2 linked regions of the Schizosaccharomyces pombe genome follow. The protein of the gene in region 1 interacts with the protein of each later gene in a pairwise test. Each region holds a gene or a part of one and is shown in the gene's direction. Other genes may lie near its edges.

The links. Proteins that work in one complex are often made in the same cells at the same time.
Region 2: the proteins of hsp16 (region 1) and eft201 interact in a two-hybrid assay, tested with the Schizosaccharomyces pombe proteins (one study listed by BioGRID).

The regions. Positions count from the first base shown.
Region 1 is NC_003423.3:2,657,651-2,665,591, reverse strand, and holds hsp16 (heat shock protein Hsp16), read left to right. Parts: upstream 1-4,599; 5' UTR 4,600-4,670; coding exon 4,671-5,102; 3' UTR 5,103-5,453; downstream 5,454-7,941. Other genes in the region: ric8 (synembryn ric8-like protein), read left to right, coding at 940-1,116, 1,356-1,556, 1,651-1,764, 1,818-1,954, 2,017-2,754, 2,833-2,895, 2,942-3,104; SPOM_SPBC3E7.17 (uncharacterized protein), read right to left, coding at 3,614-3,796; 1-phosphatidylinositol-3-phosphate 5-kinase Fab1, read left to right, coding at 6,249-7,941.
Region 2 is NC_003424.3:2,904,643-2,911,796, reverse strand, and holds eft201 (translation elongation factor 2 eft201), read left to right. Parts: upstream 1-1,535; 5' UTR 1,536-1,567; coding exon 1,568-4,096; 3' UTR 4,097-4,154; downstream 4,155-7,154. Other genes in the region: SPOM_SPAC513.02 (phosphoglycerate mutase/6-phosphofructo-2-kinase family), read right to left, coding at 1-78; tcb3 (tricalbin), read left to right, coding at 4,751-7,154.

The DNA.
Region 1 (7,941 bases):
AATGAAATAACCATCTTTTTTTTTTTAATCCAAGTTCTATAAAAGAATGAATCTTTTTGCTGATGAATATTATATTACCTTTCATCAAGCGCTTAACTCGCTCAAATTGCATGTAATAGGTTAGCCGGTTACGTTAGGGACATTACAGAGTAAAGGAAAAGAGTTAAACGCTTATTATTATGTTGAATGTTTTGGAATGGATATTTCCAAACGTAAATAATGAATTTTTCAATTTGAAATTACATATCTTGAGGACGTAAAAGTAAACAGTTTGTTAGTTTGATCAAGAAAATTTGAGGACTATAAGAAACCTGCGTTTAAGAAGGCTGAAATTACTCTACGAAGCTCATTATTTGATTCTTTTCTTTTATTCACGTAAAACCAAGAAATTTTGATATCGAAAGTTATAAAACTTGTTATCAAACTAATTGCAGTCTAGTATCGGTTTTAACGATAGGAAGAAGTGCGGTAAGCTTTTTTGAGATCTAATATTACAGTACACAGGTATTATAAGTAGCAGCCTATTGTTGGTATTCTTATAATTGTAATTATCATTAAATAATCGAACTGAGGAACCAGCTCGGTGGAACTTCATTTTATGATAATTCTAAAATTTTTCATTAAAGGGTAGTTATATAAAGCATAAAAAATTTCATGCGTAATTGTTGATAAAAGGTTCTTGACTAATATTTAGAAATATGAGCATCTTGTAAACGCAGAGCAAATTGCATAGTGTAGTGCAGTAATGGTGACAGTAGTGTAAAGGACTGATACCATTTTTACGAATGTCAGCGTTGTTACAACTTTTGACGCTGAAGTAGGTAGTCATGTAAGACCTTAAGTACACTAATCTTAAGCGCAAATAAATTGATGTTAATGGAGACTTAAATAAAAGAAAACTCATTAAAATTAACAAATTATTTCATGTGCTTAAAAGGAATGGAATTGGAAGCTTATATCCAAAGTTTGGGGTTAGGAATAGAAAGCTATTCACAAAGTGCTACACAATTTCATGACGAAGCAAACCAAAGTTTTAACATACCCATCTCTACTATTATTAAATTAAAAGAAGCTTGTAGAGAATTGGAAACATCAAAAGTAGTTGCAAAATCTTTGGTAAGTGGCTATTTGTGGGATCAAGGTTTCTTACTGTATCGATGCTATATTAGTACAGATTCTAAATGAAAAAGGCCTAGTGAAGGTTGATACAGGGACATTATGAGGCAATAATCTGATACTTTAGGATATAGGTATAGTGGTTTAATTGCAAAATCTCTTTCCGTTTCAATATCTTCGTTCTTTGATGATCAATGCCCAGCATAAGTCTTATATTGAAACAGATGCTAACAGATTAGAATTGGAGCCATCTACTTAGAGTCATAAGTTTATTATGGGAAAAGGATGTTTCACTTGAATTGATGAAATTGTTAGCAAATTGCTTGAGACAGGTACCCAGTATTTCAGTACAAATTGTACACAATGAGTCCTTAAAACAACTCACTACCTCTGTTTTCGAAGTAAGAGCCCCAAAAGTTTTATCACTGATTTCAACCTTTGTATTTGTCTATAAGGCAGACAAAGAGGTTGAATTTGATTTTTTTTATATTTTCTTCCTTCTTACTCAACATTACTTTTTTAACACACGATCAGAATGACGATTTGGAGAGAAGAGTTGTTTTCATGCGTTTTTTATTCATTCTCCTATCTACACAAACCGATGATATTTGCTTAGATATGCGACAGGTTAGAACTCAGTTAATACAGGTAAGTATTATATCGACGCTTTTTTTTTATTCGAAATAACCCAGTATTGAAAGATGTTGAAGAAAATGTGGACACTAAATAGCTCGCCCTCTAATAATAGCCAAGATAACGAAATGGTTTTAACTGAAATTTTGAGGCTGCTTTTTCCAATTAGCAAACGTTCATACTTAAAGGAGGAAGACGAACAAAAGTACGTTTATTTGAAAAATTAATGAGTTCCTTTATCTCTGGTTTTGCTAATTCTTCCTTCAGAATTCTTCTACTTGTAATTGAAATTTGGGCCAGTTCTTTAAATAACAATCCTAATTCGCCGCTTCGATGGCATGCTACCAATGCTCTACTATCTTTCAATCTGCAGCTGCTCTCCCTTGACCAAGCCATTTATGTTTCTGAAATTGCTTGTCAAACTTTACAATCCATACTTATTTCCCGCGAAGTAGAATACCTAGAAAAGGGCCTAAATTTGTGCTTTGACATAGCAGCAAAGTATCAAAATACTCTGCCACCGATTTTAGCAATTCTGCTTTCTCTTCTTTCATTTTTTAACATTAAACAGAACCTTTCTATGCTATTATTTCCAACTAACGATGATCGCAAACAGAGTCTTCAAAAGGGTAAAAGCTTCCGTTGCCTTTTACTGAGACTTTTAACTATACCAATTGTTGAGCCCATTGGCACTTACTACGCGTCCCTTTTAAATGAACTATGCGACGGGGATTCACAGCAAATTGCACGAATATTTGGAGCTGGATATGCGATGGGTATCTCACAACATTCCGAAACTATGCCATTTCCTAGCCCACTTTCAAAAGCCGCTTCACCAGTATTCCAGAAAAATTCAAGGGGCCAAGAAAATACTGAAGAAAATAACCTTGCAATCGATCCTATTACTGGGAGTATGTGCACAAATAGAAATAAATCTCAAAGACTTGAGTTAAGCCAAGAAGAGAAAGAGCGAGAAGCAGAAAGATTATTCTATTTGTTTCAACGGTAAGTTTGTTTGTTTATTTATTTTTTTTTAAAAAAATACATATATATGTCTCGAGTATATTTGGCTGACGTTGGTAGCTTGGAAAAAAATAGTACTATTCAAGTTACTAATCCTATCCAACAAGCTGTAAATAGCGGCTTGTATGAGAAATTGGATGATAATGATTCTGATTAAAAAAAACTAAAGTATAGACGTTGTCTTTTGTCTTATTTTTCAAATGAGTTCGGAGAGTTTCATATATCATTGTTATCATAGTTTTGTTGGACCTATACATATTTTACTGTTAATGTTTTCCACTTTTAAATTTCATGAAATTCTTCATTTTATCAAAATTAGCAAAGCAAGTTAGTACGTCGTGTATTTTACATTGTCTAGTGAGTTGGTAAACTTCATTTGTATACCGTAAATGTCTATATTTTAACCGTCGGATATTGCAATTCGCATTATGCGGTATGTAATATGTAATGAGTTATTAAACGACATTATTTTTAGTAAGATTTTGATCATGTATTATTCGGTAGGTAAAAGACTTAAAAGAAGACGGCAGAATGGAAAGATGGAAGTAATATCATGATATTCGGCAGTCATTAGGCATAATTTGCAGTTTCCCCATCTTTTCTCATAGTTGTTTATTAGTAATTAATAATAAACTTTGTCAACAATTCAGGAAAGGGTTTGTTTATTGAAAAAAGAGCGATAGCTTCCGTCGTAAATTTTTCATTTGCTTTTCGAATGTAGTGGTTGAATCATGTTATAAACCTCAATATTTATTTTCCTTGCTAGAGAGTTAGCTACTTTTTTCTAAACTAAAGATTAAAACGACAGCTGTACGAAATTGACTTTACGATAATATAGATTTCATTGATATGCGCATGAATAGGAAAACTCATGTTGGGTAAATAATGACGTAGGTTTTTTGTTGTGAAAACTCTCCGTCTCCGCAAATCGTAAGCGACGGGATGTACCCCACAATTTTAAGGATCTTCCAATTGAGTCACTTGTGAAATTTATTGCGTAAATCAAACACTCTACCGTGAGCATTACTGCAATGATGGAAAAAACATCTAATATGAGGTGCGACGATACAGTAGAACGTCCGATTCCTTCAAATATATTTATTATTTGAATATTTAAAAAGTTAACAATCGCAGAAATTTGCGTAACTTAACCCAACAATTGTGTAAAGTAAAGGAATTAACTATTCATATTGCTATGCTTTTAACGTAGATATTGCAGAAGAACAATTTTATGACGAACAAGAGGAAGTCGCATAAGTTTTATAGATTTATGAAATGTTTTCAAGTGCATGAGCAACAATTGCGTGAATGCACAAAATACGTCTTTGCCAATAAAGCGCTCAAATCATAAGATTAGAAAGAAAAATTCTTACGTTATGGTTTATTTACAAATCTAAATGCGTCCTAAAAATTTTATTTTGGTTAGTTGACTACAAAGTAAAAAAAAAAATAAGGTAAAGGAAACGATATACAGTCAATGAAATGAGTATTTTTCTAACTCTACTAGAATGATTATTTTCTAGATCTCTCTAGAAAGATAGCACAGCCTTGCGTACCGAAGTTTATATTTGAATCTGCCTCGGTTGTGGCGCATAAGTGGCAAATTTGGACTTTTCTAGAGCAAGCACTAACGAACATCTAAGTCCACCCAATACAGAGTTTGAGTGTTAGCAAAAGACGCCGTTCCGAAAGTACAAACTCCGGCAAATTCGTGATCTTTCACAACGTTTACGAGAAAATTCGAGTCATCGTACAATATATGACATCCATCCCATTCCGTGCTTCCCAGAAAGGTATAAATAAGGGTACTCCTTCCGCTAGTCCAGCATCGAACAAATACAGATTTGAATTGAATTCATATAATTTCAAGTTACTCGCAATTGTTTAAATTTTAAAAAATGTCTTTGCAACCTTTTTTCGGCTTTCCCCCTACTGTCAACGACTTGTTCTCTGACTTTGTTAGTTACTCCCCTCGTTTGAACAACCAAATTCCTGGGGAGTTGTCTCCTTCGATTGATGTGCATGAGGGTAAAGACACTGTTAGCGTTGATGTAGAACTCCCTGGTGTTAAGAAAGAGGACGTTCAAGTCCATTATGATAGCGGAAAACTTACTATTTCTGGCGAAGTCGTCAATGAGAGAAAGAATGAAAGCACCGAGGGTAACCAACGCTGGTCAGAGCGTCGCTTTGGCTCATTCTCTCGTACCATTACTATTCCAGCCAAGATTGATGCAGATCGCATTGAGGCCAACTTCAGTAATGGCCTATTGACTGTCACCTTGCCCAAGGTCGAGAAGTCCCAAACTAAGAAACAAATTGCTATTAAGTAAAATCGTCTCTTCCGATTTTAATATGATAGTTTCGAAATGGTTATGAGACCAATCTTGTTGGATTGTGAGCATATATTATTGTTTGATTTAACAATCAATCATAACATATGCAATTAATGATCCGCTTGCCATTGGATTGATGAATTTTGATAATGAATTGAACACGGTCTTCTAAACAGTAAAAGAGCATTTAAATTCCACATCAAGCAATTTATGGCCAGCTGTCAGACAGTGTTTTAATGATCTTGACTACCACTTGTTACGATTCTCCAATGATGAGCAAGTGATCTCTAGCAATTTTTCAAAATAAATAAATAAATAAATATTTTTTTATTCCTAATTAGAAAACAAGTTGTTTCAAAATGCTCTATCGTAATATGTGTAGATTTATTTTTATTTTTTTCAAAAAAAAAGAACAGTATTATGTAGCTCCTAATGAATTAACAGGAGTTACATTAGCATATCATAAAGTTGTGTATGCTCTTTGAGTCTTAAATCACCGGGGCAATGAAATCGTCTTCCTTTTGCGGAGATCTGATAATATGCTCTTAACAATTTTTGGTTTTATTAGTGAGCCATAAGGTTTGTTTAAGCGGAAGTTTTGTGATTTCATGTTAGGGACAAGGGCTTCATAGATGTGTTCCTTTCTATTTTTATTCTTTATATTACTAGTTCATTGGTTCATGGACACGCTAACCTAAAAGTAGTTAAATCTCCTTGGCCTTGAGCGAGTGTTTCCATACTACCACTAATCCTTGGGTGATCCAATGTTTCCTATAAAAAAAAGTACACATAAATATATAGCCTAGGGTACCTTTCTTTTTCAGTAATCAACATACAGTTTAAAGTTAAGAATGTTATGGTTTTCGTGTGTGATTAAACCAAATTCTTGTTTGCTATAATATCTAGCTCTACAGTAAAGCCGAAAGCTCTTGTATTGCTATGGCTTTGTAAAACTTAAATTCGGCGAATCTCGTTAATATACACTATTCTATCAACACCAAAACCTAAAGTATTTATTATCAAACAGCTGCGTTTAACGTACATGCTTTTCGATATAACAATCATGACAATTCATAGAACTTAATTAATAGAACCAATAATTTCCGGAGATAATTTTAATCTTCGGTTTGCATTTCTGTTCAAATGTCAGAAGTCGAAACGCCTACCGCAGCCTCGCCCACTTTTCCTGTTGAAACCTCTCACCGTTTAGATACTTTGCATACATCAAGCACAGAGCAAATCATTAAAGATTCCGAGAATGTTGTCCACACTACGTTGAAATTGCCGACTAGTACGTTGTCGCGCGAATTTTGGATGAAAGATGAAAGAACAAACAACTGTTCATTATGTGAGACGGAATTTACTTTATTTCGAAGGAAACATCATTGTAGAATATGTGGGAAAATTATCTGCAAATATTGCTTAAAAGAAGCTCCTGGATTTATCTTTCGTCTCCAAGGATCGATCAAAGTGTGTCGTCCATGTGCTTCAATTTTAGTTAATAATTATTCTCGAAGCCAGCTATTCAATCATTCATTAAACGAATCCAAAAATAGAGATCTTACGGAGCAACATCCGTTTGTTACACTGGACGAACTTAATTCGAATGATCAAGTACTATCATCATTTGGAGATTTAAGTAGCACATTTGAGATGCCTAATAATATTCATCCTCCTGAAGTTGCTCCAATGATAGCTATTCCCTCTAGTCGCTCGAATTATGATTCTCCTGGTTGGGCTCACCATTCCATCTTTCTTGACTGGAGCAAAAGGAATTTAGATTCGAATGTTATAAATGTTGAAGATTCCGAAAGTGGTAAATATAATGCTTTAACCATTACAAATAGTTACGATGCTGGTCCTAGCTCTGTTTCCACAGATTATCGTCCCGTCAATTTTGGAAAAGTACCTTCATACTCAAAGTTAAGAAAGAATAAAGCGTTTTCCTCAGCGAAAGTCTCTGATATGTACTTGTCGGCTGATGAAAGAAACCGGCTCGAGGATTTTAGCAAAGGCGACAGAGGCCTTTCATTTGTTAACCTTTCTCCAAATATAAAAGCAACGTCTTACGATCGATTGAGCACAGTAATAAATGAACCCTTTATTTCAAGAAGTTCTTCCTTGACTGATGAACGGGGTTTGGCCGATTCGGGCAATTCCTATCATCATTTCTCCGACTCCGACGATGAATCACTATTCAATGATGGATTGGGCCTTTCTTTTCATGCCAATAGTGCAATTATTAAGCAACGCCAGCAAAATGTTGCATCAATTCAGCGTTACGGTAATGAAAGTTACTTATCAAATTTTTTAAAAGCTTTTCTTCCGAAAACGGTTTGCGACTATCTTTTTCCTTCTTCTACTATTCCCGATGGACTTCCCGCTTTAATTGAAAACTTCAATGCGCGAGTTGATAAGGTGAATCATCCCGGTGGAACAGAAGAGCCTCTTCCTTACCAGGGAAAGTCGCGTGCTTCTTCTGTAGTTACCTCTTCCAAAAGCACATGTATTTTACCACCTTGGATTCTCTTCTCTGATTCATTTAATCAGCTTGTATGTACTTTTCTGGGAAAATTACTCTTTCAAATGCTAAATGATGAGGGTGTGGATTCGCCTATGCAATGGGTACTTTGTCTCCCAAAAATTCTTTTAAAAATGGCTTTGGATCTAGGTCCTGATATTCGCTCTGGTGATGATATTGATGTCCGCAGCTATGTAAAAATAAAAAAGATTCCCGGGGGAAGCATTCAAGATTGTTTTCTTGTTAATGGTGTTTTGTTCTCAAAAAAAGCTTCGTCCAAATCTATGGACCGCTCGCTTCGTCGGCCTCGTATAG
Region 2 (7,154 bases), on another chromosome or scaffold:
GCCATTTTCGTCAACATCATGAGAAACTTGACCATGTCGAACAAAATAAATGGTTTTATCGATTCCTTTAGATGCCATTATAAGAGTAAAATGCTTTTTTTTATTATTAGAAGGAACTTACAAAATAACGCTGCTGGCAATTGAGGGTATTGTAGTGTTACAAGTATTGAAAGTACTGATCATAAAGTGCAGGAAGGCCCTACAAATATAAGGCAGAGACAGAGCTATGAAAAGAATAAATACCGAATAAGGAGTATGACACTATCGAGATAGTTTGCTTCTTCAATTACCAAATCCGGAATCTGTCGTTTACGTTTTGGCATGTCATTTCATGTTTTAACGTAAGAATGATGCTATGCTGTATTTAACAGAACATCTTCGAACCCGAAAATTTTCATATGATTGTATAGCAATCCTTAGTGCTATGTATATTCAATTATTCACTATATCTAGGAGAAATAAAGAAACTGTTTTCCTTTGTAACTTTTTAATGACATCTAATATATTCAGTACTTAAACTAACTAGCGAAGCTTTAAAGTCTTCGCTAATATAACAACCTTAGTTTTGTTTTAGGAAGGCTAATAACCTCACGTTCCAAATTTTATTTTATTTAATTTTTTTAGTAATTGATCAATATTTGTAAAATATTATTGTTTTAATTACCACACAGTATGGGATTATACTCTGTTATGCCTGACAGGTTTCTTTCGCTATTATAGAGTATCCTCAATTTCCAAGAGGAAGAATGCTTGTATATTTGTATATAATATGCTACTGGAATATGAATTTAAGCTTTCAATTAAATAATTATGCATTATGTAAGTGAATTTCCTAGTATTTATTATGAAGGCTCACGCAAGTAATTTACTAAAATTAGTATAGGGTGAAGCTGGGTACCTTAGAAGAAGCCTTTTTACGCCTTTCTAAAAGCAGAATCTTTCAATTGATTTGGATTTACTAGCTTGAACCATTTTTTTCAACATCATTTGGTATGAAGTCTTTGTAAGGCAAGTTAATCGGTGAATAAAATTTCATTGAATTTAACAAATATTCAACTGTCATTAAATTTTTCTAAATGAAACCATTAATCTTAGGCCCTGAGCACAGCCTTAGACTTCAAAAATTAGGTACTTTTAGTATTTAGATTTGCTGTGTCAAGATGTTTTAATCCTTGGTACATTGTCACAGAAAGCAGAATAATAAATGTATTTAAAAATTACTTATTCGAAAATCACCAATCTTTAATAAAAGATCCAAAGCAGTTTGTACAACAAAGATTATTTTTAAGCCAGAAAAGCACAATTACCCACTAAACAAAAACTTGAAATAAGAGAGAATGACTTTAAAACTCAACCTTCCTAGTCATGTAATCCCTCTCTAATTCTCAAATAGGTATTTTCTTTTAATTTAAATTTCACTTAATGCATTATTATAACGACGATTAAAATACTGCAACGCAATAAATCGCAAAAAACACAGGGTTAGGGTTTCAGACTATAATATCAATTTGACTTGGTGTGTTTGAAATTGTTTCGTCCGCCACTGACATTTAAAAATCTCTAAAAAATGGTTGCGTTCACTCCTGAAGAGGTCCGTAATTTGATGGGAAAACCATCCAATGTCCGTAACATGTCTGTGATTGCTCACGTCGATCACGGCAAGTCTACGTTGACTGATTCTTTGGTTCAAAAGGCCGGTATTATTTCTGCTGCCAAGGCTGGTGATGCTCGTTTCATGGATACTCGTGCTGACGAACAAGAGCGTGGTGTTACCATCAAGTCTACTGCCATTTCCTTGTTTGCTGAAATGACTGACGATGATATGAAGGATATGAAGGAGCCTGCTGATGGTACTGACTTCTTGGTTAACTTGATTGACTCTCCCGGTCACGTTGACTTTTCTTCTGAGGTTACTGCCGCTCTTCGTGTCACTGACGGTGCTTTGGTCGTTGTTGATACCATTGAGGGTGTCTGTGTCCAAACCGAGACTGTGCTCCGTCAAGCTTTGGGTGAACGTATTAGACCAGTTGTTGTTGTTAACAAAGTTGACCGTGCTTTGCTCGAACTTCAAATTTCTCAAGAAGAGCTTTATCAAAATTTTGCTCGTGTCGTTGAATCTGTTAACGTCGTTATTTCTACTTATTACGACAAGGTCCTTGGCGACTGCCAAGTTTTCCCTGACAAGGGTACTGTAGCTTTTGCTTCCGGTCTTCATGGTTGGGCTTTCACTGTCCGTCAATTTGCCAACCGTTATGCTAAGAAGTTTGGTATTGACCGTAACAAGATGATGCAACGTCTTTGGGGTGAAAACTACTTCAACCCTAAGACCAAGAAATGGTCCAAGTCTGCTACCGATGCTAACGGTAACTCTAACCAACGTGCTTTCAACATGTTCATCTTGGATCCCATTTATCGTATTTTCGATGCTGTTATGAACAGCCGCAAAGACGAGGTCTTCACTCTTTTGAGTAAGCTCGAGGTTACCATCAAGCCCGATGAGAAGGAGCTTGAGGGTAAGGCTCTCTTGAAGGTCGTTATGCGCAAGTTCTTGCCTGCTGCTGATGCCCTTATGGAAATGATTGTCCTTCATCTTCCTTCTCCTAAGACTGCTCAACAATATCGTGCTGAGACTTTGTATGAAGGTCCCATGGACGACGAGTGTGCTGTTGGTATCCGTAACTGTGATGCCAATGCTCCTCTTATGATCTACGTTTCTAAGATGGTTCCCACATCTGATCGTGGTCGTTTCTATGCTTTTGGTCGTGTCTTCTCCGGTACTGTCCGTTCTGGTTTGAAGGTCCGCATTCAAGGCCCTAACTATGTTCCCGGTAAGAAGGACGATCTCTTCATCAAGGCTATCCAACGTACCGTCCTTATGATGGGTTCCAGAATTGAGCCTATTGAGGATTGTCCTGCTGGTAACATTATTGGTTTGGTCGGTGTTGATCAATTTTTGGTCAAATCTGGTACTTTGACCACTTCCGAAGTTGCCCACAACATGAAGGTTATGAAGTTTTCCGTCTCCCCAGTCGTCCAAGTCGCTGTTGAGGTTAAGAACGGTAATGATTTGCCTAAACTTGTTGAAGGTCTTAAGCGTCTTTCCAAATCCGACCCTTGTGTTTTGTGTACCACCAGTGAATCTGGTGAACACATTGTTGCTGGTGCTGGTGAGCTCCACTTGGAGATTTGCTTGAAGGATTTGCAAGAAGACCATGCTGGTATCCCTCTTAAGATTTCTCCTCCCGTCGTTTCTTACCGTGAGTCCGTTAGCGAGCCCTCTAGCATGACTGCTCTCTCTAAGTCTCCCAACAAGCACAACCGTATCTTCATGACTGCTGAGCCCATGAGTGAAGAACTCTCTGTCGCCATTGAGACTGGTCACGTCAATCCTCGTGATGATTTCAAGGTTCGTGCTCGTATCATGGCTGACGAGTTTGGATGGGATGTCACTGATGCTCGTAAGATTTGGTGTTTCGGTCCTGACACCACTGGTGCCAATGTTGTTGTTGATCAAACCAAGGCTGTTGCTTACTTAAACGAAATCAAGGATTCCGTTGTTGCTGCTTTTGCCTGGGCTTCCAAGGAGGGTCCCATGTTTGAGGAGAACTTGCGTTCTTGCCGTTTCAACATTCTTGATGTTGTTTTGCACGCTGATGCTATTCACCGTGGTGGTGGTCAAATTATTCCTACTGCTCGTCGTGTCGTCTACGCTTCTACCCTTTTGGCTTCTCCCATCATCCAGGAGCCCGTTTTCTTGGTCGAAATCCAAGTTTCCGAAAACGCTATGGGTGGTATTTACTCTGTCCTTAACAAGAAGCGTGGTCATGTCTTTTCTGAGGAGCAACGTGTTGGTACTCCCTTGTACAACATCAAGGCTTACCTTCCCGTCAACGAGTCTTTCGGTTTCACTGGTGAACTTCGTCAAGCTACTGCTGGTCAAGCTTTCCCTCAATTGGTATTTGACCATTGGTCTCCCATGTCTGGTGATCCATTGGATCCTACTTCTAAACCTGGTCAAATTGTTTGCGAAGCTCGTAAGCGTAAGGGTCTTAAGGAAAATGTTCCCGACTACACTGAATATTATGACCGCCTTTAAAGTATATAGTTTTGGTTTTTACTATTTAATACAGGTTATTTAAAAACTCGATTCTTAATCAGCTGTGTTGAGGATTTTTAGCCTTGCGTTAATTTTGTAGCGTTGATTAGCTAAAAAAATGTGAATTAATAAACTTAAACCTTTATAAAATACTCGGCAATCCTGTAGATAAACGTTTCTTGTGTAAAATACACCTATAATTATGAAAATCGCAAGGAAGTCGTTTCATATTTAGTTTTCAATCCGCTTTCGACACTACTATTATTCTACAGTGTTTCAATATGAGACCGATTATATAACTTAACAAGGGCGCCCTATTTGTTATGCTAAATCCTGTTACTGAATTTAAACGCCGTTCTGTGTAGCGCCAAAAACTCCAACTTATTTTAAGGAATCTTAAGGGAAAGTAAAACTGGCCAGATATTGGTGTACTCTTGATTCATTATGACAGCCAGTTATACACTGTGACTTTAATCTCCAACATCTGTCACGAACCAAGCAGTGATAAGACCTTTTTTTTTTTGACTATTCGTTCTCTTTTGGTCTAGCAATATTTATTAATTACGGAAACTATTTATTTTTTGGTTATCGGATTAACCAGTTATTTATATAAAGCAGAAACTACACCTTATTTTGATTGTTTAAGCAGAAACAATGTCTTCGCAGGCTGAGCCCTCTAAGGGTGCTAGCAATGCCGACCCGAATGAAAAGGTTGAAAAAATGCATCTTCCTACTGATACAGCTGGTGGTGGTGTTAAGGTGAAAGTTAAGGAACAAGAAGCTTCACCATCAGACAAGAATAACTTAAACCCACAATCAGCTGGAGTTTCTGAGGTTCAAGTACAGGATGATACTGGAGCCCGTGGCTCAGGTGCTAGAGACTTAAAGGTCCCTAAACAAATGCAAGCACCCAAATCATCTGAAGAGAAATCAGACGTTGATGGAGTGCCCACTCGTCCTGTTAGCGAGAGGGAATTAAGGAAAAGGGATGCGATGCAATTCATTCAAAGGCACCAAAAGGTTAGGAACATTTTGGCACAATACTGTCCTTGGCTGACTGATGAACGTTTACAATTATGCATTGAGCTTAAAATTCTCTTTATGCAACATTTCCAGGATTCAAGGCTTGTTTTGTATACGGCAGTCATGTCATTTTTGTTTGGTTATTTGCGCTTCGGATTTTTGAGTCTTTTCATTATTATGGCTGTTTGTATCCAGTACTACCGAATTTGCGATCGACGTGTTAAAGTCAATTTCAAAGACGACTATACGAGATATCTTTCTACACGAAAATTAGAAAATGATAGCGAAACTGTCACTTGGCTAAACACCTTTTTACAACAATTTTGGTATATTTTTGAACCTTCTTTAAGTGAGAGAATAACGGAAATTACGGATCAGATTCTTTCAGAAAATGTCCCCAGCTTTATTGACTCCATGGCTCTCTCCGAATTTACTCTGGGAACCAAATCACCGAGAATGGGATTTATCCGTAGTTACCCTAAAACAGAGGAAGACACTGTTATGATGGATTTGAGATTAGCATTTAGTCCAAATGATATTAGTGACTTAACGGGTCGTGAGATTGCTGCTTGCATCAAACCTAAGATTGCTCTTGATTTGAAAATAGGAAAAAGTATTGCTTCAGCTAAAATGCCTGTTTTAATTGAGGACCTTTCCTTCACTGGTAACCTTCGTGTTAAAGTAAAGCTTATTGATAAATACCCGTATGCCAAGACTGTCGGTTTGACTTTTACCGAGAAACCTGTTTTCTCTTACATTCTTAAACCTCTCGGAGGTGATAAGTTTGGTTTTGATATTGGCAACATTCCGGGTCTTACTACGTTTATCACCGAACAGATACATAACACGTTGGGCCCAATGATGTACAGTCCCAATGTGTATGAGCTGGATATCGAATCTATGATGGGTGCCGCTGGCTTAAATACTGCTCTCGGAGCCGTAGAATTTAAGTTACGCAAGGGAGATGGTTTTAAAGACGGTTTAGGTGGAGCTGTTGATCCATATGTTGTTATAAAAAATTCAGCGGATCGTGTTATTGGTAAATCTAAAGTGGCTCACAACACTGGTTCGCCGGTATTCAACGAAACTTTTTATTCCGTTTTGAATTCGTTTTCAGAGAACCTGAATTTGGAGGTATATGATTTTAACGATATTCGAAGTGACAAACTTCTGGGCAGTGCTGTACTACCATTAGCTACTCTGGAAGCTATGCCTGTGACAAATGATGCGTTTGTAGAATTGACTTTAAAAGGCAAGACTGTTGGTCGTTTAAATTATGACATGAAATTCCATGCAGTTGTGCCTGATTCTGGCGAAGAAATTACTAAAGTCGATGGCCCTGGTGTTCTGCAATTTACTGTGCATCAATGCAAAGAGCTTAGCAATGATCCATCGAAACGACCTACCGCTTATGCCAAATTGATTATTAACAATAAAGAAGTCTATACGACCAGAAAGATTAAGAAAAACAATAATCCATCATGGGAAGAATCCTTTGGTACTCTTCTTCCAGAAGGGAAGAATGCTACTCTGGGTGTTCAAATATTCACGGAGGAATCAGAGCATCCTTTTGGGACCGCTAATGTATCTTTGCAGGACTTGTTTGCTGCTACTAAGACGGGTCTTTTATGGTTTCCATTACAACATGCTCCATCCGGTAGAGTACGTATGTCTGTTATGTGGAAACCTGCTCAGTTAAATAACGACAGTATTTCTTCGATGGCTCTTGCTACTCCCATCGGTGCAATTCGTATCCATTTACGTTCGGCGAATAATTTGCACTCTAAGATTCCTGGTAAAAAATGTGATTCTTACGCACGCATCATGTCCCACAATACGAAACAGTTTAGGACAGTGGTCATTGCTAGCAATGTAAATCCGTTTTGGGATGAATACATGTATGCACCCGTAATTACCAAACATGACATCTTCTTTTTACAAGTGATGAATTACAATTCATCTGGTGAAGACAAACTCATTGGACAGACCCCTATCAACATATCAAATTTTATCAATCAAGGCGAAAATGGTGCTT